4 linked regions of the Arabidopsis thaliana genome follow. The protein of the gene in region 1 interacts with the protein of each later gene in a pairwise test. Each region holds a gene or a part of one and is shown in the gene's direction. Other genes may lie near its edges. The genes, in order: ASIL2, AT3G08780, ERF14 and AT5G10210.

Region 1 (6,996 bases):
AAAATACTTGAAAAGATACCAACTTTATTTCCTGAAACCAGTTACAAAGTGATAGACACAGAGTGATTCATGAAGAGCTGAACAAAAGATAAACGCCACTACTACTATTACTACTTCATCTGAAGGATGAATTTTGAAGACATTAAGAAACAGAAACTCAGAAGAGGTCGTCAGAGTCTTCTTTAAGTGTGAATTCGCATGAATCGAACCGCCAAGCCAGAGGAGTGGAAGGCATCATAGAGCCATGACGGATTGGAGAGCGCCATGGAGTCGAGTTCTTCAGCCAATCAGAAAACTTGGGCGATGCCATCTCTTCTGGTTCTTCGTAAGTCAGATCGTCCTTAGCATCCATCTGAAACCAAAAACACATAGGATAGAGTCATAAAAAGTGTCACTTTAAGTTCCAAAACTAGATTAAAGATGCAGTCTCACCAAAATCTCCATCAAAGACAGAGAGATAGACATTGTTTTTTAAGTACAGTACCTTTTCAATGTCCCAATTGAGATGCTTCTCCTTGATGCTGGAACCTGCAAGTACAAAAGATCAAGTTTAGCACAAGCTTACTCGCAAAGATTGGTTAAACATCATAGCTTAGAAGATCTAAATACAATACCATGATGAAGTAGCATGAGATCAGCAGAGTAGTGATCATCCCAAAGATTTTGCTGTTCTTTGATGCATTTGCTGTGATCATGTAAAAACCTTTCCCCAGCTATATCAATCTCTTTCACAGCAGCAGAAGCAATTTGCTTGTTCTTTGAAGAAGCAGCAGCTTTCGCATGAATCCCAGACTTGTTTGTAATATCATTCAGAGCCTTACGAGCTCCTCCAGGTTTCTTCTGACCAAGTACAGTCCCTTTGGATTTCACAGAAGCAGCAGTGACAGACTCTGTAAATAATAGCCAAGAAAGAAAATGTTAAATCTTTGTTTCAAAGCAATATGATTTAAAGAGAGTAGAGAAAGATTAACTACTTTTGCGATGAATTGGAGCGTTCTCGTCTGGGAAGATCATTTGTTGAAGAGCGTTCATGTTCGCCATATGGTTTTAACTGTGAATCATCAAAGAACCAATTGCAGAAACGAAGATTTGATTCCAGAACTGACGATTTTAAGCAATTAGAAACCCTAAAAAAGGTAACAGAAACCCAACTCGAAATCGAAACAAAGATCGTTTTTTTCACAAAACCCAATTCGATCCTCAAGCAAATTTAACACCACAGACCCCAGAAACCCAGAACGAATCAAGTAGCGACATACGAAAAGAAGAACAAACAATCGCAAGAAGAACAGTCTATAATGTGAACCTAAATCAGAAGGAAGAAAGAGATTACCTTTGTAAAAGTGAAGAAGTTTCTTGGTGAGATTCTTGTTGGAAGAGAAGTGTATAAGAAGATGAAGAAGAGCGCTTAGAGTGTTTAACGGTAACTTTTCAATGTTGTTCTGACGAAATAATGAAGAACCTCCGGGATTAGGCCAAAAAAAGTAAATTTATAGAAGAAGAGAAAAAGTTTCTAGCCGTTGGCAGAATATTTTAATGCAGGCCTAATCAAGAATTGGCCCAGGTACAGGCCCATCACATAAATCAAATTGACGGCATCAAACTATCATGTAAGATAGAAGCAAAACATGTCACACTTCTCTAAGTTATCTTCTTATCGGCTAGATTTATCATCATCCTTGATTAAATCTCCTTAATTTTGGAAGGTTAAATTATAGGTAAAGTGTATATAATTAGTCTAACCAAGGATATTCAACGCTTCTCGTTCCTGTTCCTTATATAAAACCATTATCCTCACATAAAGAAGACTTAACAAAAAAAAAACTCTTTTCAAAACACATTAGAGACAATTAACAAGAAAAACCCTTCTAATAATTTGATCAGAGATATGGGTTTTTCGCACAAGTTGTGGGATGAAACTTTGGCCGGTCCAACGCCGGAAAATGGTCTCGGGAAGTTGAGAAACCACATATCCGGTGAAAGTGCCAACCGGAAGTTGATGGTGGATCTGAAACGTGTCCCGAATTCTCCTGACCGTTCAAGCAACCCCGTTTCCCCTTTGACTCTTATGTTACCTTTTTTAAAAATCCTTTCTGATCCACTTTTTTTTTATCTTCTATGCTTGTGTTATGAGCAGTTAAAACCCTATATATTCATGTAAATTAAAGACTTTGCAAGGTGATACATATGTTCATAGTCATTATAAGCTTTTTTTTATTATTTTTTTTTTTTATTTTGACATCCATAATCATTATTAGCTTGAGAGTATTATGGATTTGTAAATTAATGATTACCAAAATCATTTGTATGCAGCTGGAACACCAAGTGAAACACATGCTACAAGTCTCAATGCTTGCGATTGGTTTGATCTCCCTCTCTTTTCTTTCCTCTCAAACTATACTTCATTTTATCCAACGCATTATCGCTTTCATTAGTACCACCATATCTAATTAACGTCCGGTAATACTGCAGGATTGTGCTAAACGCATTGGACCGTTGAAAAATATTACAAGGTATTTCTACGAGAAGAAGAAGTATCCCAAACTACTTTTCTTTGTATATATATATTTGCTGTGTACATAACATAATGGTCGCTTTTGGTGTTTTGAGATTTGAGAAATATTAAATTTCTGTTTGTTTCACAATTCACGAAGATTATATAAGGTCTTTTTGAAACATAGTATTTCTGGAATGTTTAAAGTTGTATCTTTGACAATGGTGAAAAGAAAAAATGATACTAAGTGATAACATGCTAACGTAGCGTATGGAAAGCCCAATAAAAACCCATGCCCAAAGTAAATAACATCCACGTCACCGTTCTTATTGTTAAAAGAGAGACTAATTCGAATCGATTTAACGAATGAAGCAAGACAACGAAGGAAGACAACTGGAAACTATCGACGGACTAAAAAAAGTCTACGACCGATATTGAAACTGACGGTTAGGCTAAGGGTAATTTCGGTACATCACCGGAAAAATGGTTCACGGGGATAGTTCCGGTAATTATAGTAAAACTAGATGGGCTTTTCCGTCAATACACTTCCTCATCGGATTACGAAGAAATGGGGAAATTACGATACAAACCCATCTTTTACCCCTAAACCGAGCCGGCAACTTTACCGGTGACGGAATCTTACCTCTGACCTACCAATCACGTCATTCCACGTCATCTCCCCGTATCTTCTCACGTCCTTCCACGTGTCCCCTCTACTCACCGACGCCGTCTCCTTCCCGTTTACCCCTCCCGAACAGAATATTAACCCAAACCCTAACCCTATCTCCCTCTTTCACGAGCTTCTGACTCAGATCCGGCGATATCGAATTCCATGGAGGACGATGAAGACATCCGATCTCAGGGTTCCGATTCACCTGATCCGTCTTCCTCCCCGCCGGCGGGACGAATCACGGTTACGGTGGCTTCGGCAGGTCCGCCTTCTTATTCTCTGACTCCTCCGGGTAATTCGTCGCAGAAGGATCCGGATGCGTTGGCTCTGGCGCTGCTTCCGATTCAGGCCAGCGGTGGAGGGAATAACAGCAGTGGGAGACCAACCGGCGGCGGCGGGAGGGAGGATTGTTGGAGCGAAGCAGCTACGGCTGTGTTGATTGATGCGTGGGGTGAGAGATACTTGGAGCTTAGCAGAGGGAATCTGAAGCAGAAGCACTGGAAAGAGGTGGCTGAGATTGTGAGCAGCAGAGAGGATTACGGTAAAATTCCCAAAACTGATATACAGTGTAAGAATAGGATCGATACGGTGAAGAAGAAGTATAAACAAGAGAAGGTGAGAATCGCTAACGGCGGTGGCCGTAGCAGATGGGTGTTCTTCGACAAGCTTGACCGTCTGATTGGATCAACGGCGAAGATCCCGACGGCAACTTCTGGAGTCAGCGGTCCTGTCGGAGGATTGCATAAGATTCCTATGGGTATTCCAATGGGAAGTCGTTCGAATCTGTACCATCAGCAAGCTAAGGCTGCAACACCGCCTTTCAATAATCTTGACCGGTTAATTGGAGCTACGGCTAGAGTCTCAGCTGCTTCTTTCGGTGGCAGTGGTGGAGGAGGCGGAGGAGGATCTGTCAATGTACCTATGGGAATTCCGATGAGTAGCCGTTCAGCTCCGTTTGGACAGCAAGGGAGGACTCTGCCACAGCAAGGTAGGACACTGCCACAGCAACAGCAGCAAGGGATGATGGTGAAAAGGTGTAGTGAGTCGAAACGCTGGCGTTTCAGGAAGAGGAACGCTTCTGATTCAGACTCGGAATCTGAAGCAGCAATGTCAGATGATTCCGGTGACAGTTTACCACCTCCTCCTCTGTCGAAGAGGATGAAGACGGAGGAGAAGAAGAAGCAAGATGGTGATGGAGTGGGGAACAAATGGAGGGAGCTGACTCGGGCAATCATGAGATTCGGTGAAGCTTATGAGCAAACAGAGAATGCGAAACTGCAACAGGTGGTTGAGATGGAGAAAGAGAGGATGAAGTTCTTGAAGGAGCTTGAGTTGCAGAGAATGCAGTTCTTTGTGAAGACTCAATTGGAGATATCACAACTTAAGCAGCAACATGGGAGGAGAATGGGAAACACCAGTAATGATCATCATCACAGCCGCAAGAACAACATCAATGCGATTGTCAACAACAACAACGATTTGGGTAATAACTAGAATTTAGTGATGCAGTGTCGTAATTGATATATTTTAGATTTGAGTCTTTAATTGTTGAAAGAGAAACTGAAACTTATCTAGGCTTCATGAGTGTATTAATATTTTGCATATCTTTCTTAACTTTGGTCATATGGAACAGATTTAACTTCACTAGATTGCCTGAGATCATTCTGCTGCAGACTCTTGTGCACGTTTTTGAACTTCTCTTAATCTCTGAGTTAGATTGTGTTTCACTAGTTAGGTTAGAACATGGCATAGGACATTTTTGACACAATCCAACCGCAAAATCTTAAAGCTATGTTTGGTTATTATGACATTGGAGATTTGCATGTGTACCTAAAAGCATTTTTTTAACTCTTTTTCTTTTGAGTAATTGTTTGAGCTAGATTTTCTTGTGTCTGAAGCATCATTCAAACCACCAATGATGATCTTCTATAAAAGAAGAATGTTAGGCAAGAAACCTTTTCGTTGGTCTGTTTATTTATTTTTCTATGATGTTTGCCTTTTGGCATTTTATAGGTACTAAACAAATGACAGTCAATTCAAATTCATTACACATAGATGTTTCTCACAATTTTACCTTCCGCACTAAGCTAATATTCATGTATCGAAAGGTGAATCATGATATTTGAGTAAAAATACCATCTTCCGAGTCCCACCGTAACATCATTCTAACTTGCACTATTCTTATTTTTTTTTGAAACGAATACAATAATGAAAACGTAAGAAATAAAGCATCTTGAAATCTTCTGAATTTTGTTTTTGTTTTAGGTAGAAAAGAGTTTGATTCCAAAGGTCCACGTGTGTTTAGACATATAGATTAGATATTATCTAATGATATATTGGTATCACTAGGATTACTAATCAAGATTTTTCCTTAGTAAAGTTCAAAATAAAGTTTTTTTTTTCAAAATAAAGTTTTTTTTTGGAACTAAATCTAGCAATAAAAGTAGTGATTACTAAAGAAATAGTAAATTATTAATGTAACAAATGAATATTCTTTTTTTTTTTTTAAAGTGGGCAAGAAAAGATACCAAAAAGAAAGAAAGAATTGGGTAGGATTTAAAGCCATGTCTCCATTATAAATATATAGTTAGGGTCAATTGTCCATTAAAATTAAAGAAGAATAAAGAGTGATATCCTATAATTAGATATTTTTTCAGGGGGTCCATCATTTGATTTAAAGTGTCTCCAAAAGTTGGAATAAAAATGGTTGGTGTTAATATTATTAATTTTCAGTAGAGTAGAATAAGCTCTAATTTAAATACTTCTTTTTGTCAGCATCTATTTAGTACAGTGTTTATTTAACATAATATACATTTTGCACATAGAGATTTTACTCTAAAACAGCGAATCGTTGTTACTCTTAACGTTAAATATTTGGATCTGAAAGGCAAAGTACCAATATACCCATTTGTTCCTTGGCCCATCTGTGGGTAAGAGACTAATTTACCCCTCCAATTTATATACTTCACAGCAATAAATTCGAAGAATAAAAGGGTATTATGGGTAACTAACGAAAGCCGTTTAGGATTCGGCGAGACCTGTTTCCGGAATTTCGTAATTACTGCCGACTTTCTTTGATTTTTGTTTAATTTAATATTTCAAATTTTACGCTCTATTACTCTCTTTTTTTTTTTGTTTTGTCATCGTATACGCTACTTCACGTCAACAAAAATGGTGATTTTTGTCTGAAGAACGTTTATTTCTTTCTCTTGATTTCACTTTCTCTCTCTAAAGTAGATTTTTGACAAAGATAGATTACGGCGGAAGGAAGGAGACACACAATGATGGGAGAGATATTGAATCCATCAGCGGAAGTGAAATTAATTACGAAGTTGACTTGAGAGTTTTGAGTGAAGCCAAAAACAGAAGAAAACAATCTTCATTGTTAGGGTTTTAATAAGCTTTAAGAAGAGGATGCTGAATATAGAAAGCAGAGAAAGAATCTCGACAATGATAGTAACTATTCGAATGTGAATCTGAAAGAGACTGATTCATCGGAAACAGACGAAGATCTCATTTTGTTTCTATTCTCAGGTATGGTCTGATCCGAGCAGGACTTCACTTGAATTTCAATGGCGTTTTGTTTCCTTATTGGATTTGGGATTTTACTTTATGTCTTGAATTTGAATTCGAATCATGGGTCTTCGAGGATTCGTCCTTATTGGGCGTGAATCAGTTTTCTTAGTGATTGGGTTTTCAAATTTCCATGATCGGAATCAGATCTAGCAATGTGTTTGATTCTGTGATTTGTGTTGGGGTTTCTATTATTGTGATGTTGGTTTAGTTGGGTTAAATTGAATCCGTGTATGGACACTGCTTTTATGTATTTACT
Region 2 (5,949 bases), 2.0 Mb from region 1:
CAGGTCCAAAATGAATACCATAGTGAGGAGAGGCGGGCGGGCTAAAGTTAGGCGAAAATGGTTGGTTTCCGTAGGCAGGAGAAGATGGTTGTTGAGTAATTTGGAGATTCCAAACAGGAGCAGATGACCCTTGACCATAATAAGATTGCTCTTGATGGCCAGGTCCAAATCCATTCGAGTAATTTTGTTGCACCTTCTGATGATTTGCGTGAGGATTCGAAGTTGGAGTAGAGCTTTCGCAGTTATTATCTGACAACATATCGATTAAGACGATGGAATTATCTGGCTTTGCTACGGGGCTACTTGGTTGTGGAGGTCCGAGAGGAACAAGAGCTAATGAGTTATCCGCATTCGGAGTCTCGAAGTCATCACCACTTAGAAGGTCTATTTTTGGACCATTGGTTGTATAAGCCACAACACTACCATTTTTGGTCTCACTGCAAAAGAAGTTCAAAAATATTTTAGAGTGTAAAAGGCCAATCTTTTTAATCTTTCAACCTTCAATCCTTAACCACTAAACCAATGCCTATACATCAAAATATAACACACAATACAACAACAAAATAATTCTTAAGTTTTTACACAATTTAGTCAAGAACCCAAAGATATTTCAAAATAAAACATTTAATAACTAGAAGTCTAGAACTGTTTCTTACCTTGAACCAACATCTATGATTTGAGTTGTGTCCTTAGGAACTTCTTTTTTAGATTTTTCTTCTTTTTTAATCATACTGTTTCCAGAGGCGATGGCTTCGTGCTTTGCAAGTAATCGCTGCAAATCGTCATTTAAGGCTAGGCCTTGGCAAAGCATAGATTCATCTCTGACACATGAACCAAAACGTGTATAAAGAACATATATTCGTCAAAATTGTTTAGAGTTTCAAAACAAATTTTGCAGGTAAAAGTTTCAGATCTTTACGATGTCGAGTTTACAAGGTGCACTACTCTTTGTTTATAGGTGCGACATTGGCTAACAAGATCTACAACAACCTCTTGTTTAAGTCCCTGCAAAGGTGAAAAGAAAATACATTCATTTGGTAGATTCAATGTTAACGAAAAATGTTATATGAATTTTCAGAATCTAGGTGTTAAAAGATATACCTCTTTGTTGTTTCCATCTATTGCGTTCATCATTTCAGCTAAGACATCCATAATTCCTCTTGCGTTTTGAATTTCTGTCAAACTTCAACCAAAAAAATGCTATTTGATCAAATCTTTTTATGTTGAATATTCCTAGAAAATAATGAGCAATAATTAAGATAGACACCTCAGAGTTGGAAATTCTGACTCTGTTGAAGTATCAATAGCTTCTTGTCTAGCGTTACGAGAATTCTGAGGATACCTTGTCGAAGGACCATTTTGTCCTGAACTGGGTGTGATTTGAGGTCTTTGAGGGAATACAATTCCTGCACGCTGAAAACAGATAAAAGAAATTAAACGAAATACTAACATTCAAACCATATCTCCATCGGTTCGATTAAAATGGACATGTCACAGCAAAAATGAAACATACCAACAATTCTTGGTATGCTGCGTAATATTGTGGATGTCTTCCTTGTGGACCTGAAAAGCTCTCTTGCCAAGTATCTATAAGTATCAATATCTTCTCCTTCACTTGGATGTTAGGCTATAAGTTTAACAAACAACATGATAAGTTAGGTGTCACACAAAACTATTGTTATAGATTAAACAATCGTTTAAAAGAAACATAGCCTGACCTTCCTTTTGGCCATCTTCACCATCTTATGAAGTATATCCTTCTCTGCAACTTGCATATGAATAAGTTCTCCACAATTGGTTATTATTGTCTCTAGTAACTACAAAGTAACAAAACCAAAATATGTTAATCTTCTCATAAATAAATTTTTAAAAAGGAAGAAAATAAAAGTAAATATCTGAATACTATTGGTTGTGTACATATCATACTGAAGTGAAGTTTGGTATTAATAATGTAAGAACATCTCATTCTATGCAAAACCGAAACTGAATCCAAAATCAAACCAAACCAAACCAAAACATGAATATCAAGCCCTGGTAGTAGAACTTACTGTAAGAGCCAGAAGCTGAACCTTGGAAGTTCTACTAGTAAGCCTCTTCTTTATGCCACTCACTACCTCTCTCGTTTGCCTACAAACACACACTCACATATCATTAGAAAAGTGGAATAAAACCAAAAAAAAAAACATCAAAACCAAATCTGAACCATCCGAGTCTTCAGTGATCAACACAAATGTAGTATAACCGAGATCAACAAAATTACCATTGATTCTCTTTAGGAAATCACAATGTCAACAATTACCATTTTTCCTTTAGAACATTGATTCGTATTGATCACCTAGAGCATTGGACCAAGGATTTTACAGTCATTCAAATACATTTTAGTGAAAAAGGTCTTACCCAGGCTCATGATTAAGCATGTCACATATCTCGAGGTTCATGGCCCAGTCAGGACCAATGAGCATATCGCTTGTAGCTCTATCAACCAAAGGATGCACCATCTTCTTGGTTTTTTCCTCTGTCCTTCAAAAAACTCTGAGCTAAGAAGTGTTGTTTTCTTCCTTGTAGTCTGTAAAAAGATATTTTGCTCTCTTCTTAATTTGCAACTAAGAAACAACATGGCGACACTTGTAAGCACCGTTGCTAGTTGCTGCTACATCAATGCAGAAGATTAAGGAACTAATTGACCTTTCATATTTCCCTTTTAAAATGTTTTTCTGTTTGATTGGGCTTTAAGGTGAATAACGGGCCTCGAGTGTGGACATTTATGCCCATTTTCTTTCACAAAAACGACACGCTAACTACTCGTTAGAACACGAAACGCCACGTCGTCCTAATGTGCTGATACAATTTTTATCTCGTTTTTATTTGCACAGAGAGAGATTTCAGTGACGTCACATCTTTTCCTTTTGGTGTTCTTCTCGTCGCCATGGACGATCTCTCTCTAGAGAAAATCGAGATTTCGGGTCCAACATTGGCGTCACTGATTCAACGAGCTTCATCTTCTCCCAGTGACGTCGATGGCTTGATCTTCGGCCAAATCCACCGAATCGTCTCTTCTAATCTATCCGACGATTCTCCGGCGGATATCGCCTCGAGTTCCTCCTCATCTGATCAAATTGTCGCCACCGTTACAAGCTTTATCTGCTCTGGTAAAACTGTCTCCTTCTACGATCCGCTTGGCCGAGTTGACTCGCGTCGAATCGATTCCCTCCGAGTCGACTCACCGGACCACCTAATTGGGTGGTTCTCCGCCCGCAGGAAAACCGCTAACCGTCCATCAATGAGAGAGTTAGCCGTCACGTCGTCTCTCTCGTCTCAATTTCACTTACCAATCGAGGATTTGCAAAACCCTAGATCGATGAACATGGCTTCATCCGTGTTCTTTCTTCTTACTATGCCATTGACGGATCAGTGCATTCACACGCACGAGTACCGTGCGTACCAGTTCCGATCCTCGAAACAACGGCTCGAACCTAGATCCGTTGGTATAGTCAACATTGGACCAGCGTTTCGAGGCCATTACGGTTCGTTTAGTCCGAAATCGGGATTTCCACCGTTGATCTGCGAGTTGAGTAGCTCAGCCATGAGCGTGGATTGCGATGAGAGTTCCTTGAGTGCGAAGAAACAATCAGCGAAAGATCAGAAGGAGATCGATGCGTTAGCAGAGGGGTTTCAAGTTGGAGAGTTGAAACGTTTGGTTGGAGCTGAAGCTGCGAATTACACAGGCGGGATTGAAGAAATGTATGAGAGAATGCTGGCGAAGATCGAGAGCTTGGCTTCTGATGTTGAGAAGAGCTCGGCTAGGGTATTTCAACAGGTACAAAACCATCTTCAAAATTCGATGTTATTGCTATTCAAGAATTAAAGTGGTTTTGTTGTTCATGTTATTGATTGTTGTCTAGCAAAATGTTACTGAATTGTACCAATACAACATCTTCAATGGTTCTTCCAGGAAAAGCATAATAGGAAGTTGAGAAACCGAGTAGCCAGAATCGGGAGATGAGGCTTCTTTTGAATTTCTTTAAGGTTTTTTATCGAGTCTATATACTTGGAATTCAATCCAAGAGAACACTGGCTAGTAGTGGCTAGCGCAATCGGAACTATATGCGGGAAACGATTTGTATTATAGTTTAGCGATTTCCTAGTTAAACCTTTCCTGGCTAGATTGATTTGTCACAAGAGATCCCTTTTCCTTGTATGGCTAGTTTTTGTTTGAAGAGAAACAATCAAGAATGGGATTGATTCATGTCAAGAGTTTCTATAATTGGGCGTATAATATATGTTTATGAAGTTTAATACTAAGCTAATTAGTTGCATACATATTGATACCAATTACCAAATGGTAGAGCAGAAATACCCCGACATGACTAGAGATAGGAAAAATGATATCACCAGAAGAATGAATACCTTTGAGAAAATTGATATATGATATTGAAGTTCTGATCAACAGTCATTATAATTTGTATAGACGTTTAACTTTGTAAGGACTTTGGAATTGATTAAGATGGGAACTTTTATTGTCGACATGAATGGTATGACACTGAGGCAGAATGTTCAAGGAGGGTAAATGTTACTATAAATACCATGTGAATGTGTATAGTATAGTAACATTATTCAATTGATCTCGAATTTTATTGACTTAATTTTTGATTCAAGAGTTGTAAAAGTTGGATACAGCCCGTTGGAATGATTTAATAATACAAGCTACAGAATTTGGAATCAAACCGAATACATGTTTCTTCTGAATCAGGTTTTTGGTTAAGGATCGGCTAAACCGAACAAAATTGGGACCACGGCTCAAATTACTTGATGGAAACCAACCAAAACGGTTTCTCAACGATCAATTTCACACCACAGCTCTTAGTACTCGAAGATGCTCCTTCATATTTGTGCTATCTTAACTACTTGTAACAACAAAACGTACCAACCGCACACTTCATTAATCTCTTTATCTAGAGCGTCAATGCACTATGAGCAGCGATACAACTCAATATCCATCGCCTAAAAATTGTCATTATTTTTCCTTTTGTCGACGTTGATATTGACATATATATTACTACACACATGGGTTAAACACTATCCAAATATATGTAGATGAGAACTGAAATCCTTTTTATTTGTCAAAGCAGTTTTAAAACTTTGAATTTTATAATCAGGCATTAAATCATACACTACTGAATTAAACAGCATTTCAAACCAGTAAGAAATTAAATACTATCCAAATTCCTATCTTAATCTATTAGTCTTTTTCTTTTCTTTAACAACTCTTCTCATTGTAGTTGGTATCAGTGTTTAATTTAGTAGGCCTTTTTTATTGATTAAGAGATGAATTTGGATAGTTAAAGAAGAAAAAATGTAATTAAAAAGAAATAATATTGTTAGATACAATGCAGTTGAATCCGGAGGGTTGGATCTTAATTGGCTGAAGGTAAACATTAAATTCTTCCACAACTAACTAACAGTAACACTCGTGTCCTAGCAATCACTCTTCCTCAACTACCAATCTCAAACTCTTTCCATCTATAAATAACCTCTCTATTTTCTAACCCTAACCATAACACAAATACACCAAAAAAAAAAAAACAGAAAGTAACATGAGATCTCTCTTATTAGCCGTGTGCCTGGTTCTTGCTTTACACTGCGGTGAAGCAGCCGTGTCTTGCAACACGGTGATTGCGGATCTTTACCCTTGCTTATCCTACGTGACTCAGGGCGGACCGGTCCCAACCCTCTGCTGCAACGGTCTCACAACACTCAAGAGTCAGGCTCAAACTTCTGTGGACCGTCAGGGGGTCTGTCGTTGCATCAAATCTGCTATTGGAGGACTCACTCTCTCTCCTAGAACCATCCAAAATGCTTTGGAATTGCCTTCTAAATGTGGTGTCGATCTCCCTTACAAGTTCAGCCCTTCCACTGACTGCGACAGGTAAAGAGTACATCTCACTCTCT
Region 3 (5,410 bases), on another chromosome or scaffold:
ATAATTTTCTTTGTTTTGTTTTGATGTTCGAGATTCTATTAGTTGCATTGATCAGGATCGTCTTCTAGCCCTACGCTACACTATAAAAACATACTTAACTGGAAATAAATTACTAGAAATTCCAAAACTTATGCATTGATCCGATGGTTTTTGGTTTGGCTAAATACAAGAGATTAATATCTAACTGAGTGTTACTGTATATAATAATGTAGATCTCATAACAAGAAATTGTAAATAAATTTCAAAAGAAAATTAATTGGCTTTTAAATTTTATTATCTCAAACTAAAGGTTGACTTTTACTTTACCATTTAAAGAAACCAATCTGGGGTCAACGTTTTGAACCATTGATATGTGTGCGAGTCAAAACATCCTATAATTTAATGAGACACAATTTACAAAAAACAATTTTTTTAACTTAAATTATCTAGTTAATTAATTTCTTAAATTTTAATCAATTTTTGGTTTTATGTGTATGTCTAAGAAATAACTATGTAATCTCTGTTTTCATTTTAATAAAATAAAGCAAGATGTTACAAAAATAAAATTAATTTCTTTAGTGTAAAATTGAATAATGTGATGTAATTTGTTCTATCGTCTGTTCTGTTTCCATAATTTTTTTTATTTTTTTTGAACAACCATAAATAAATGCTGATGACAACAAAAAAAAAAGATAAAAAAATGCTTTACCAGAAAAGAGAACTGTAAAAAAAAATGCTTTCACTTGTTTCACTTTCTCTTTCTCCATTCGTTGACAGGAAAAAAAACAATTATGTTTCGCCATTCTTCCATTAGTTTTTCTAGACCCATTTTGGGCAGCTGCGTGGACCATATGTGGGTCACGAGTGAACTTGGGCTGGGCCATCATATATTCAGTGTGCAAAGATTATGTCAATCTATTAAAATGAAAATAAACTGTGTCAATTTTAAAATATATTTAAAATGAAACTAGTGTATGTCATCTTGAAAATAATAATGTGTAGCATTAATATTAACCATACATAATATTGTATGAATATCTTTGAGTTCATTAAAGTTATTTTTGTTCTCAAATTAAAAGAATGAAAGTTAAAAGGTACTTAAACTATAAATTTCTTATTTATAGTGCTAATTATAAAAATATAGTTAATAAATTCTGTTCCATTGGAACTCCGCTGTAATTGATCGAAGATTATCCAAAAAATTGGTCAACGTATTATCGATTTTGGTAAAAGAAATAGATTAACCCATAAATCCTTGATATTCTATAACCTTTAGTTAAAAGCTTCATCTATATGTTAGGGTTCTTGTTCTGAAATAAACCTTTTACTATAGATTCTATGTTATTCAATTGGTAGGTTCATGCACGAAGACATAAAAAGACTTTAGTTCTAGCTATATGTTGTCCCCAACCTCGAGAGCCCTTACTTACACTAGTCGTAATGGCGACAACAATATAGATTCTGATTCTATATCAATCGAAACCACACAATCTTCTTTTTCCCAGAGATTATTAATTTACAATAGAATAGACGTTAATTCCAATCTTCTTAAATTTAATTCTTTTTATTGTTGAATAAACGTAGATTCATCTCTCCTTTCAATTCAAGAAAGACGTCGGAAATGTATATTGAAGATAAGAAAAAAAATGAACAATTGAATAATAATAATTATTTTCAATCAGGCTCTATTTTAAATTTCTTTTTCAAATATAAAAGAATCCTTAGATTTGTTTTTTGTTTTTTGGAACAAGGAAGTTTTGAAGTACAGTAGGTTTTCGATGATATTTGTTACCGTCTACCGAGAATTTTCAACAAAATCAGTTTTCAGTTGTTGTTTTTTTGTCGCCCAGTTTTCGGTTGTTTTGGTTTGTTTGTTCATAGACTCGGTTTATCCAAAATAAAACATTAATGCGACAGTATTTTATTTTTTGGTCGCATTTATGCGACAGTTTAAGCATTTTTAAAAAAAATATACAGGCACTACAACAATTGTCATAACTTACCAAAAAAATATTTGTCGTGGACCGATTCAAAGTCAAAGGCAAGTCAGATTTAAACGACATAATAAAATCGTAATCATTATTTTAATGTGATTGAAAGGGAAAGGAACTCAGATATGATAGAAGAACAAAGAAGGAAAGGGAACTCCAAAACTTTGTTTTCTAGTCTAAAAAAAAAGACTTCGAATATGTACGGACACCTATAAGATCGAATCCAATATTAGGAGCAGCCAAAAAGGGCCAATTAGTGTATTTTAAAATATATATTTTTAAAAAGGTAACAAAAAGAAAACTTGAAGAAGTAGGTACATTGTGACCATGATGATGAATTTATGATCAACTAGGTACATTGGACATGTCGTTATCCTTATTTCAACTGACTTAACGTTAATGACTTATTAGAAAAGCCCACGTGACGATTAGGCTAATAGGTTTATAAAAGTCAATTTCGACAGAGTATAGTGTCAGTAAAATATCTGAGATTTACGGGTGAAAGATACTATTTATGGAATGTTCACTTATACGAAGTCCTTCCGTATAAGTTTCTTATTGACTGTGACATCTATTGTTATATTTATGGAACTTTAGCGATTAATTTTGTGGACCTAGCTAACTAAAGAAAGTTATATTTGTTGGCTCAACGAAGTCGTATATTTAAGTTAAAAGATTCAGATTCTAGAGTATGTAAGGTATTATAGGCTGTTGATTCTTGTTTTTCAGTTAACAACTATATACTGTAGTGTGTATAAGGCAATTACAAATTACTTGATTCTAAGCTGACTACTTTTTTTGGTTTTGTATATTTTAGAGGACTAAATGGTGTGATTATATTTAATGAAAATATGATATCTTATTAATGCTTTTAAATACAAACAAAAATGTAGATTATCGTACATGGGAAGCGTGATTTCCAAAGCATAAAATCAAATTGCGAATACCTTTTGTATTTGCGTTCACAACTTACAAACATTTCTTACTAATATAAAAACTTTTATTTGTTCAATGCATATACAAAGTTACAAACGCAACCAACATTTGATTCGATCAAATTTCTAGAGATTTCAGGTACCGTACGTTGGCAAAGATGGAGAAAGTAGTTCAAATGTCATAAAAAATTTTAGCGATTAATATTTAGCTCAATTTTTTATACGACATTTTGAAAAACAAAATCTTATATTTTCTTTTAAGGTAGAATAAGTAATGAATTTCCAGCTTTATGTAGAATATATGCATAATTTGAAAACAATTCAAGGCCGATTCAATGTACTTAGTAAACGTTTTTGTTCTTCTTCGTTAGTGGTATGTTCGTAAACTTGATGTTAAGAAAAGTTAATTGATCTAATCTACTGCAAATTATTCAATAAAAATTAATTGATGTGAAAATATATCTAGAAGGAAAAAATTCTCCAAAATGTAAAGTCATGTCAAGAACTTAGACCCCCACACGTAGATTCTGTATTAAACAAAAAATTTATTATGGTCCAACGAAAGCTTCTGAGTCGGTTTTGAGAGTCAACCCACGTGGGCACTAACGAAGTCCCAAGTCAAACATATTCCTATGGGTCCTCCAATCAACTCTTTTATTCAGTACACATCATATTTTTGGTAACATAAAATTCCATTGCTGTTGCCAAAAAATACCATACAAATATAGTTTTCTATAATAATTAGTTCAAGAGACTGTCTAATTTTATCATAAATTTCCTACTTTTTGCAAAAGTTCAACTTGAGTTAAACCTTATAAGCTCTATTTAGATATAAATATTTAATAATTTAGATATAATGTAAAATATAAACGCAAAATATAATAATTTCAAGGATATAACAAAAAATTGTTTTATATTTTTGTTGCACATGATTCTTACCATATTATTAATGTTGTACATTTCCGAAACCCCATACATGTATATTATTATAGCCATAAAAAATTGTACATATATGTAAAATACAAAATTCTCAAAATAAAATCTATTATAAAAAAATGAAAAAAGAAAAAGAAAAAGAAAATTTATTTTATGAGAAACATCTATGTTGAAGGAGAAAAAAGGTCTAAAGAACATCTACATAATTTTCATAAGTGGAGTTTTTCGAACTTCGAATATTAGGTTGATGGACCCACTTGTTTCCTTGCCTATAAATTCCACAAATCAAATCTCATTTAATCCATGCAAAATTAAAACACACACAAAGACAAAAAAAAAAAAACAGACGCTACATCTTGTGTCCGTTTCCAACTCTTAGAACATCCAATTCTTCTTATTATTCTTTGTCACTTGGTCTCTCTTCTGACGCACAACAGTATATACACATACACAGATATATGGATCAAGGAGGTCGTAGCAGTGGTAGTGGAGGAGGAGGAGCCGAGCAAGGGAAGTACCGTGGAGTAAGGAGACGACCTTGGGGTAAATACGCCGCGGAAATAAGAGATTCGAGGAAGCACGGAGAGCGTGTGTGGCTAGGGACATTCGACACTGCGGAAGACGCGGCTCGAGCCTATGACCGAGCCGCCTATTCAATGAGAGGCAAAGCTGCCATTCTCAACTTCCCTCACGAGTATAACATGGGAACCGGATCCTCATCCACTGCGGCTAATTCTTCTTCCTCGTCGCAGCAAGTTTTTGAGTTTGAGTACTTGGACGATAGCGTTTTGGATGAACTTCTTGAATATGGAGAGAACTATAACAAGACTCATAATATCAACATGGGCAAGAGGCAATAAAGGGAATACAATCGGTATTAACTGAAAGTTATGTGAAAGACCATTTTCAGTTATAACAAATAAAATAAAATCCCAAGCGTACAAAGCTGTTTCAATTATTGGCATGAAGTGTAATTGTCAATCGATTTCTGTAACGAATAAGATTCTTTAAGCGGGTCATCTTAGTTTCTTGAACTTCAAAGTTCAAACGGTTCCTTGTGCAATTAGTTTTGAGAAAATATTAATGAAAATAATGATTATGTGAAACATATTCTTTTATGTTTTGTGACGTGTAATTATGATTTGATATATTTGTTACCTTCTTGTGATTCATCTAAACGAGCTTAAACGTTTTAAAATAAATCAAAGTAAATTTATAAGATATCAATATAACCTATTACATCGCTCTAATTAATATAACTACCAGCATGTACAAGTACATTGTGTTATACGTTTGAAATATGGAATTCATCTTACCATTGCTTGTTATTGCTCTTCCATTCATGAATTATACTGGAAAGGCATATGTAGACGCATATATACATGTACATTTTGAAAATAGTTTTTATAAGCAACTGATGAGTTTAGTAACTTGTGGGGACAATAATTCATTGAGTTGATAGATGAGTTTTTAAAGACAAAATATAAATACGTGGAGAAAGAAAATCACCCACACCACACGGCCATGAAGATGAGATGAGAGACTTCGGCGTTAATTCCATGCTTCTAT
Region 4 (5,702 bases), on another chromosome or scaffold:
TTGGAATCTTTGAGTGTATGTCTGCTTTGATATGGAAAGGACTTAAAAACCGGCGTTGGCTATCTCATGACCAGAACATATACATTCCTTACTACGCGGCTCACATTATCGGGTCTTACACTATGAACATGGAAGAGTTTGCTGAGAGAGCTGTAGAAGCTGGTGTGATTCCTCCACTTGTTGAGCTTTTAAGAGGTAGGCTTACTTGGGTTGAACAGAGAGTGGCGGTTCGTGCTTTAGGGCATTTAGCTACTTACCCGAGTACTTTTCCCGCTGTTGCGGATCACGGAGAGATCCTCGAGCTTGCTATACAGTTGGCAATGAGTTCGTTGGAGATAGTTTATTCTCATTTTTACCAGTATCCGGATCGAAGGTTGAGTTACCATTGTGATCTGCTTACACGAGGCATGGGAGGTGTAGAGATGGAGTCGAGAAAAGCAGAGGAATGGGCGAGCCAGTTGCAGTGTTGGTCTCTTCAGCTCATAAACTGTTTCGCTTTTAAACCCGAGTTTCTTCCCACTTTGTGTAAACCTGAGTTCTTGGTGAATCTTCCAGTTATGTGGGGAGGACTTGTGAATGAGAACTCGCCTGCTGGTATCGGTTTGCTTAGAACAATCTGTCAGCATAAACTAGGTCGTGGACCTGTCTCTGCATGTGCAGGAATGATTGAGGCCTTGTGTAATATCGCTCGTTCTTCTGATGATTGGCAGTATATGGCGATTGAATGTCTTCTTTGGTTGCTTCAAGATCCTAATACGTCTCACAAGGTGATTGATAAGGCGGTGCCAACGCTTGTAGATCTTGCAGAGATCACAAACTTGGGTGATCACAAGAAACTTGGAGATTCCATTGTGAGTGTTCTTCAAGAATGCAGCTCAATGGGTAACCGTTCAAGGGAATTGATCGAAGAAACGGTAAATTCTCGACAGAGACTGAAATGGGAGAAGAGTATGCCTAAAGAGGACCTTCATATCAAACAAGCAGCAGCTTTAGTGGTCAAACTCGAAGGAAACTCTCTCTTTTCATCAGGAGATATCGCGGGTGCAGCGGAAAAGTACTCGGAAGCTTTGTCTCTATGCCCAATGAGGTCGAAGAAGGAAAGAGTAGTGTTGTATAGCAATCGAGCTCAGTGTCATCTCTTGCTACAACAGCCTTTGGTTGCTATAAGTGACGCTACACGTGCGCTTTGCTTGCACAATCCTGTAAACCGGCATGCTAAGAGTCTTTGGAGAAGAGCTCAGGCTTATGATATGTTAGGTCTAGCTAAAGAGAGTTTGTTAGATGCGATTCTGTTCATCAACGAATGTTCTCAGTCGAATGATCCGGATCTCTCCATGAGACAGAACAAGGTTCCTGATTACGCAGAGAGGTTGGTGAAGAAACAGATGCGTGCAGCTTGGTTGTTTAAAGAAGCGGCATTGAAGCATGGAGGTGTGCATAGGAAAGGTGAAGAGAGGGAAGTGTATGGAAATGAAACAGATGATTCGGAATGGGAAACAGCGAGTGAGAGTGATATAGGAGATGATGGAAGGGATCATATGGGACTTGATGATGAGGAGGAGGAGGAGGAAGATGAAGGTCACGGTGAGAAGTGGAAGAACCGGGATAAATCGAGTGAGAAAAATGAGAAAACTTCTGCCAAAGGTGAGATTCTTGCATGATTATGATCAACACATTGTTGTCTTGATTTCAAATTAGTTAATGGTTTATTGGTGACACAATCTATGAATTTGTTCAGGTATGAGGCATGGATACAGCATAAAGCTTGCAGAAGATGAAATATGAAACCTTGAAACACAACAAGGTCGTTACAAGAAGTTGAAGAACAGAGAAGACGTTGAATGGGTTTGAGTCTTTTTTACAAGCAAGAAACTTGCTTCATGGATATCGTAAGTTTTCTTTTACTTTTTTTTTTTTTTTTCGTTTCTTTATTTAGTTTTGTGTGATTGTAGGATTTGTGGTAAAATTTTATCCATTTTGAAGGAGTAAAGAAGAAAGGAACAATTGTTTTGTTTTTTCAGTGATTTTATTTATTTTTATTTTGTGGTGTATTTATTCAGAGACAAAGAGGAGTTCCAATTTGTAAAAAAATATTTTTTCCTTATATTAAGAAATGATTTGTGATTGAGAGAGATATTTTTTTTTGGGGGTCAATGATTGGCCGAGATTGTAGATTAAAAAACATTTTAAATGGATATTCGCACGTTAGCTAATACAGTAATAAAAAATTTGTACAAAGATAGAGAATTTTTGTGGGTCTTAGCTTATTGGATTGCGATATTGTAAAGTAAAAGTTTTGAAAAATGGAAGATCTGCATTTAGTCCACCGAGGATCATATGCATAGTCGATATTGACACAAGAGTGAAATTTGATTGGAGGAAAGAGGATATGTACCAAGCCACTATTTACCTTTTTTTTACGTCAGGCTCTTGAGATGATCTTCTTAGTTTTGATGTCTTTTTGCAAATTGCAGTGACGTTTTCTAAATTGGTACACTAAGTTTAAAAATGCTGTCCTTTGGATAACTCCAACGGATGATATGAACTAAAACAATGCTGTCCTTTCATATTATGTAAGAAAACACTCACTCGGTTAACTATGAGCAACCCACTACAAGTAAGTATTGTAAAAACGTTTTTTTCTTTCAAATTCCAAGTATTTTTTAAATTTTGTAATAGAAAATAATGATTTGGGTTTTGTAAGTTAGTATTAGGATTTAGATTTTTTTAAATAGTAACGAAAGTGTTTGATAAAAAAGTAAATAGTAACGAAAGTAACCTAAATTGACATTTCCATTACCCTTGAGATGATCAAAATAAACACAATTTCTGCATGATTATGAGTTTATGACTATGCTTATTAGCAATGATTTGTTCTTTCTATAATTTAAAACCAGTTGAAACTAAAATTGTTTTTGTAAAATTTAATAGATGATATTATTAGTATACAAAACTTTTGTCAACAATGAATTGTGTGATAAGAGTTTTTTTGGAGATTTTCTTATGTAATAAAGTCTATCTTGTATGACTACAATTGATCATGGGATTCGTGGCTAATATTTTTTGTAATTATATCTTTTGAGTCAAATTCCATACTCATTTTAATATATGCAATCGAATGTATCTACTAATAATTTGTTCTTATTTAATTTGATTCTGTTGACTCTGTTCCAAAACAACTTTCGGCTATTGGATGTGTCCACGCGAAATGTAATATAATAATGATCAAGTCTTCAAAATGGCACACCTTAATTTCTTTTTGCAAATTATAAAAATTCTTTATATGGTGATCCTACGTATCTATCTAATTATCTCCCAAAACTATGGGCAAGAGTCATTATTAAAATCGACCCTTGGTCTTTTGAGATGCTCAAGAGTTTTAATTTCTAAAATATTAAGCCTTCACTAACATGATTAGAAAAAAATAAAAAGTTAAAAACATGATTAGAAATTTAGAATATTTTAATAAGTACAATGTGGAAATCTAGTGTAAACTTTCCTCGAACATTCCCCATAGATTTATATAAATAGCTAGTGAGAATTTGTTCATGCACATATTCATCACAAAGGAACTCACTGCTCTTAAATTTGCTCTAATTGTTATTACCTTGGTAAATAATATATTCTTGGTTCGATTCGAAATTTTCAAGCAAATGGGTATCGTTGAAAACATTCGTTCCCTTAAATTTGAAGTGAAAATCGTGGAAGCTAGAAACGTAGAGCTCAAGTCATCGCCAACCACTCTCTTCGTTAGGTTCTATCTCCATGCAGGGAATAACAGTAAGATTGAACTAAACACTCCAGAGATCCGTTCGAGATCAGACTGTGAGGTCATTTCCTGGAACCAATCATTCGGTCTGGAGTGCCAAGGGAACGAAACCGCGGTCGAGGAATTGAAGCAACAAAGTGTTGTTTTCGAACTACGGAGAAGGAAAACGACGCCGTTTTTGAAGAAGTGGTCGAAATCAGAGTTGGTGGGTAGAGGAAAGATTTTTTGGAAATCGGTTATAGAGACTGATGGGATGGAAATAGAGAGATTTGTAGTGATGGATGAGACAAAAGATCACGTTCTGGAAGATTGTGATAAGCATAAACCTCTTTTGTTGAAGATAGCTTTAAAAGTGCAAGCTTCAAAAATCGTGAACACTAAGAGAGTGGAAGATCTTTGTGAGTGTAAAGATTGTAGAACATGTAACTGCGTAGATTATGAAGCTTTTGTTGTAGCTTGTGCGTTAGCTGGGATTTAGTTTGTAAGAATAAAATTTAAAGAAGAGATGATTCAAAGAAACCAGAATAAGTTGTTGCAGTAAAATGTAAAAACTAAGGACCAAAGTTCAAAGAAAATGAAAAACAAATAACAACTGTCTTATAAAAGACTATGAAACGATGATGTTGTTTCAAGCATGGTCATGTCCAAGAAGGGCGAGAAGCATATCCTTGTAGTCACCAGAAGTGTCATTAGCAATGGCTCGATCAAGAGGAACACTGTTCCTGCGTAAGTATTCTTCTTTGATCCGCTCCAGGTCGACCTCTGCTCTTGTAGTGACCACTCTAGTAAGTGCCCACTCGTCTGTTCCCATCCTGTTGATGGCTCGACGTAGAACCTTCTCAAAGTACTTCTCTGGATATGTCAAGCATTTGATCGCGGTTTTGAGTAATTGAACATAATCATCGTTCGAATCTTCTTTGAGAAACTTGTTAATGGAACTTCCAAACTTGTCCTTGAAGTGATTGAGTGTTGCATTGATCTGTGCTTTGCTCCTTGTTGTCAAGATTCTGATGAGATCTTCATCAGTGTAAGCCTTCTCAGTGATCTTCTTGTGAAGTGTCTTAGCTTCGGATCTAGCCAGCTTCACGTTGACCTCATCAGCATTTCCATCGTACCTGAAGGTGCTCACAAGAGGAACCAATAGCTGCATTTTTACAAGTGGTCAAAACAAAACAACATATCATCAGAAACTTACTAATTGGTTTAAAGAATGATATACATAAATCTTTCACTACCTTTCGGATATTTCCAGATGTATGGTATGCAACATCTTCCTCGAGAGAGGTCTTGTAGCGAACATGGTATGCTTGCTTGGTCTTGAAAAACTCAAGAGAAGGTCTAGTACAAGCGATTTCAACTAGGACCCAAATGTTTTTGGTGAACAATTTGGTAGATTCATTGGCCAAATACGCATCTCTCTCCGTTGGATCAAGAGTCCACAACATCACAACTCTCTGTTTTCAAGCAAAGTAAGATGTTCAAAATAAGATGAAGAAATATAGATTTTGTATCTTTTAGTTTTGACAAACCTCAAAGTCACCAGAAAGCTCTCCGTCTAATTCCTTGAGAAGATCCTTATTGTAGTTAGCAGCATAAACGGCACGAATGAAACTGCGTTGCGTTGCGTTTCTATGAGCCAAAATTGATATGATCATCCCTTCATTAGTTCCCCATCCTGCGCCACACAAAAACAAATTTCAAACCCAAGTTTAGTCAGATAGAGAGTATGTAACAAAACCTAACTAAACCAAACCAAAATTTTACGACAGTTAGAAATTAACTGTAAATATACAAGAAAGCTGATGTTCGCTAGTAGAAAAAAAACCAAGCTTGAAAAAATCTTAGAAGATTATTAGAATTTTTTTTTTGGGTTTAAATCTGAATAAAAAAATTGTTACGAAAGCAACAAGTTAATCTGTTTAAAAGAGTTGTC

Evidence for each region.
Region 2: the proteins of ASIL2 (region 1) and AT3G08780 interact in a two-hybrid assay, tested with the Arabidopsis thaliana proteins (one large-scale study listed by BioGRID).
Region 3: the proteins of ASIL2 (region 1) and ERF14 interact in a two-hybrid assay, tested with the Arabidopsis thaliana proteins (one large-scale study listed by BioGRID).
Region 4: the proteins of ASIL2 (region 1) and AT5G10210 interact in a two-hybrid assay, tested with the Arabidopsis thaliana proteins (one large-scale study listed by BioGRID).

Annotation. Positions count from the first base shown.
Region 1 is NC_003074.8:4,704,952-4,711,947, reverse strand, and holds ASIL2 (sequence-specific DNA binding transcription factor), read left to right. Parts: upstream 1-2,771; 5' UTR 2,772-3,326; coding exon 3,327-4,658; 3' UTR 4,659-5,146; downstream 5,147-6,996. Other genes in the region: AT3G14190 (uncharacterized protein), read right to left, coding at 158-352, 485-528, 615-890, 975-1,041. UniProt on the Arabidopsis thaliana protein: Transcription regulator that may repress the maturation program during early embryogenesis.
Region 2 is NC_003074.8:2,664,430-2,670,378, reverse strand, and holds AT3G08780 (BRISC complex subunit Abro1-like protein), read left to right. Parts: upstream 1-2,818; 5' UTR 2,819-2,926; coding exon 2,927-3,817; coding exon of another isoform or gene 3,818-3,865; exon of another isoform or gene 3,866-3,952; coding exon 3,953-4,003; 3' UTR 4,004-4,316; downstream 4,317-5,949. Other genes in the region: AT3G08790 (ENTH/VHS/GAT family protein), read right to left, coding at 19-437, 657-821, 920-1,005, 1,102-1,183, 1,268-1,413, 1,514-1,627, 1,719-1,817, 2,049-2,127 and 1 more; LTP6 (lipid transfer protein 6), read left to right, coding at 5,595-5,926.
Region 3 is NC_003070.9:1,170,878-1,176,287, forward strand, and holds ERF14 (Ethylene-responsive element binding factor 14), read left to right. Parts: upstream 1-4,155; 5' UTR 4,156-4,299; coding exon 4,300-4,701; 3' UTR 4,702-4,891; downstream 4,892-5,410.
Region 4 is NC_003076.8:3,202,583-3,208,284, forward strand, and holds AT5G10210 (nitric oxide synthase-interacting protein), read left to right. Parts: upstream 1-3,557; 5' UTR 3,558-3,653; coding exon 3,654-4,247; 3' UTR 4,248-4,397; downstream 4,398-5,702. Other genes in the region: AT5G10200 (ARM-repeat/Tetratricopeptide repeat (TPR)-like protein), read left to right, coding at 1-1,644, 1,739-1,785; ANN6 (annexin 6), read right to left, coding at 4,398-4,913, 5,005-5,223, 5,299-5,444.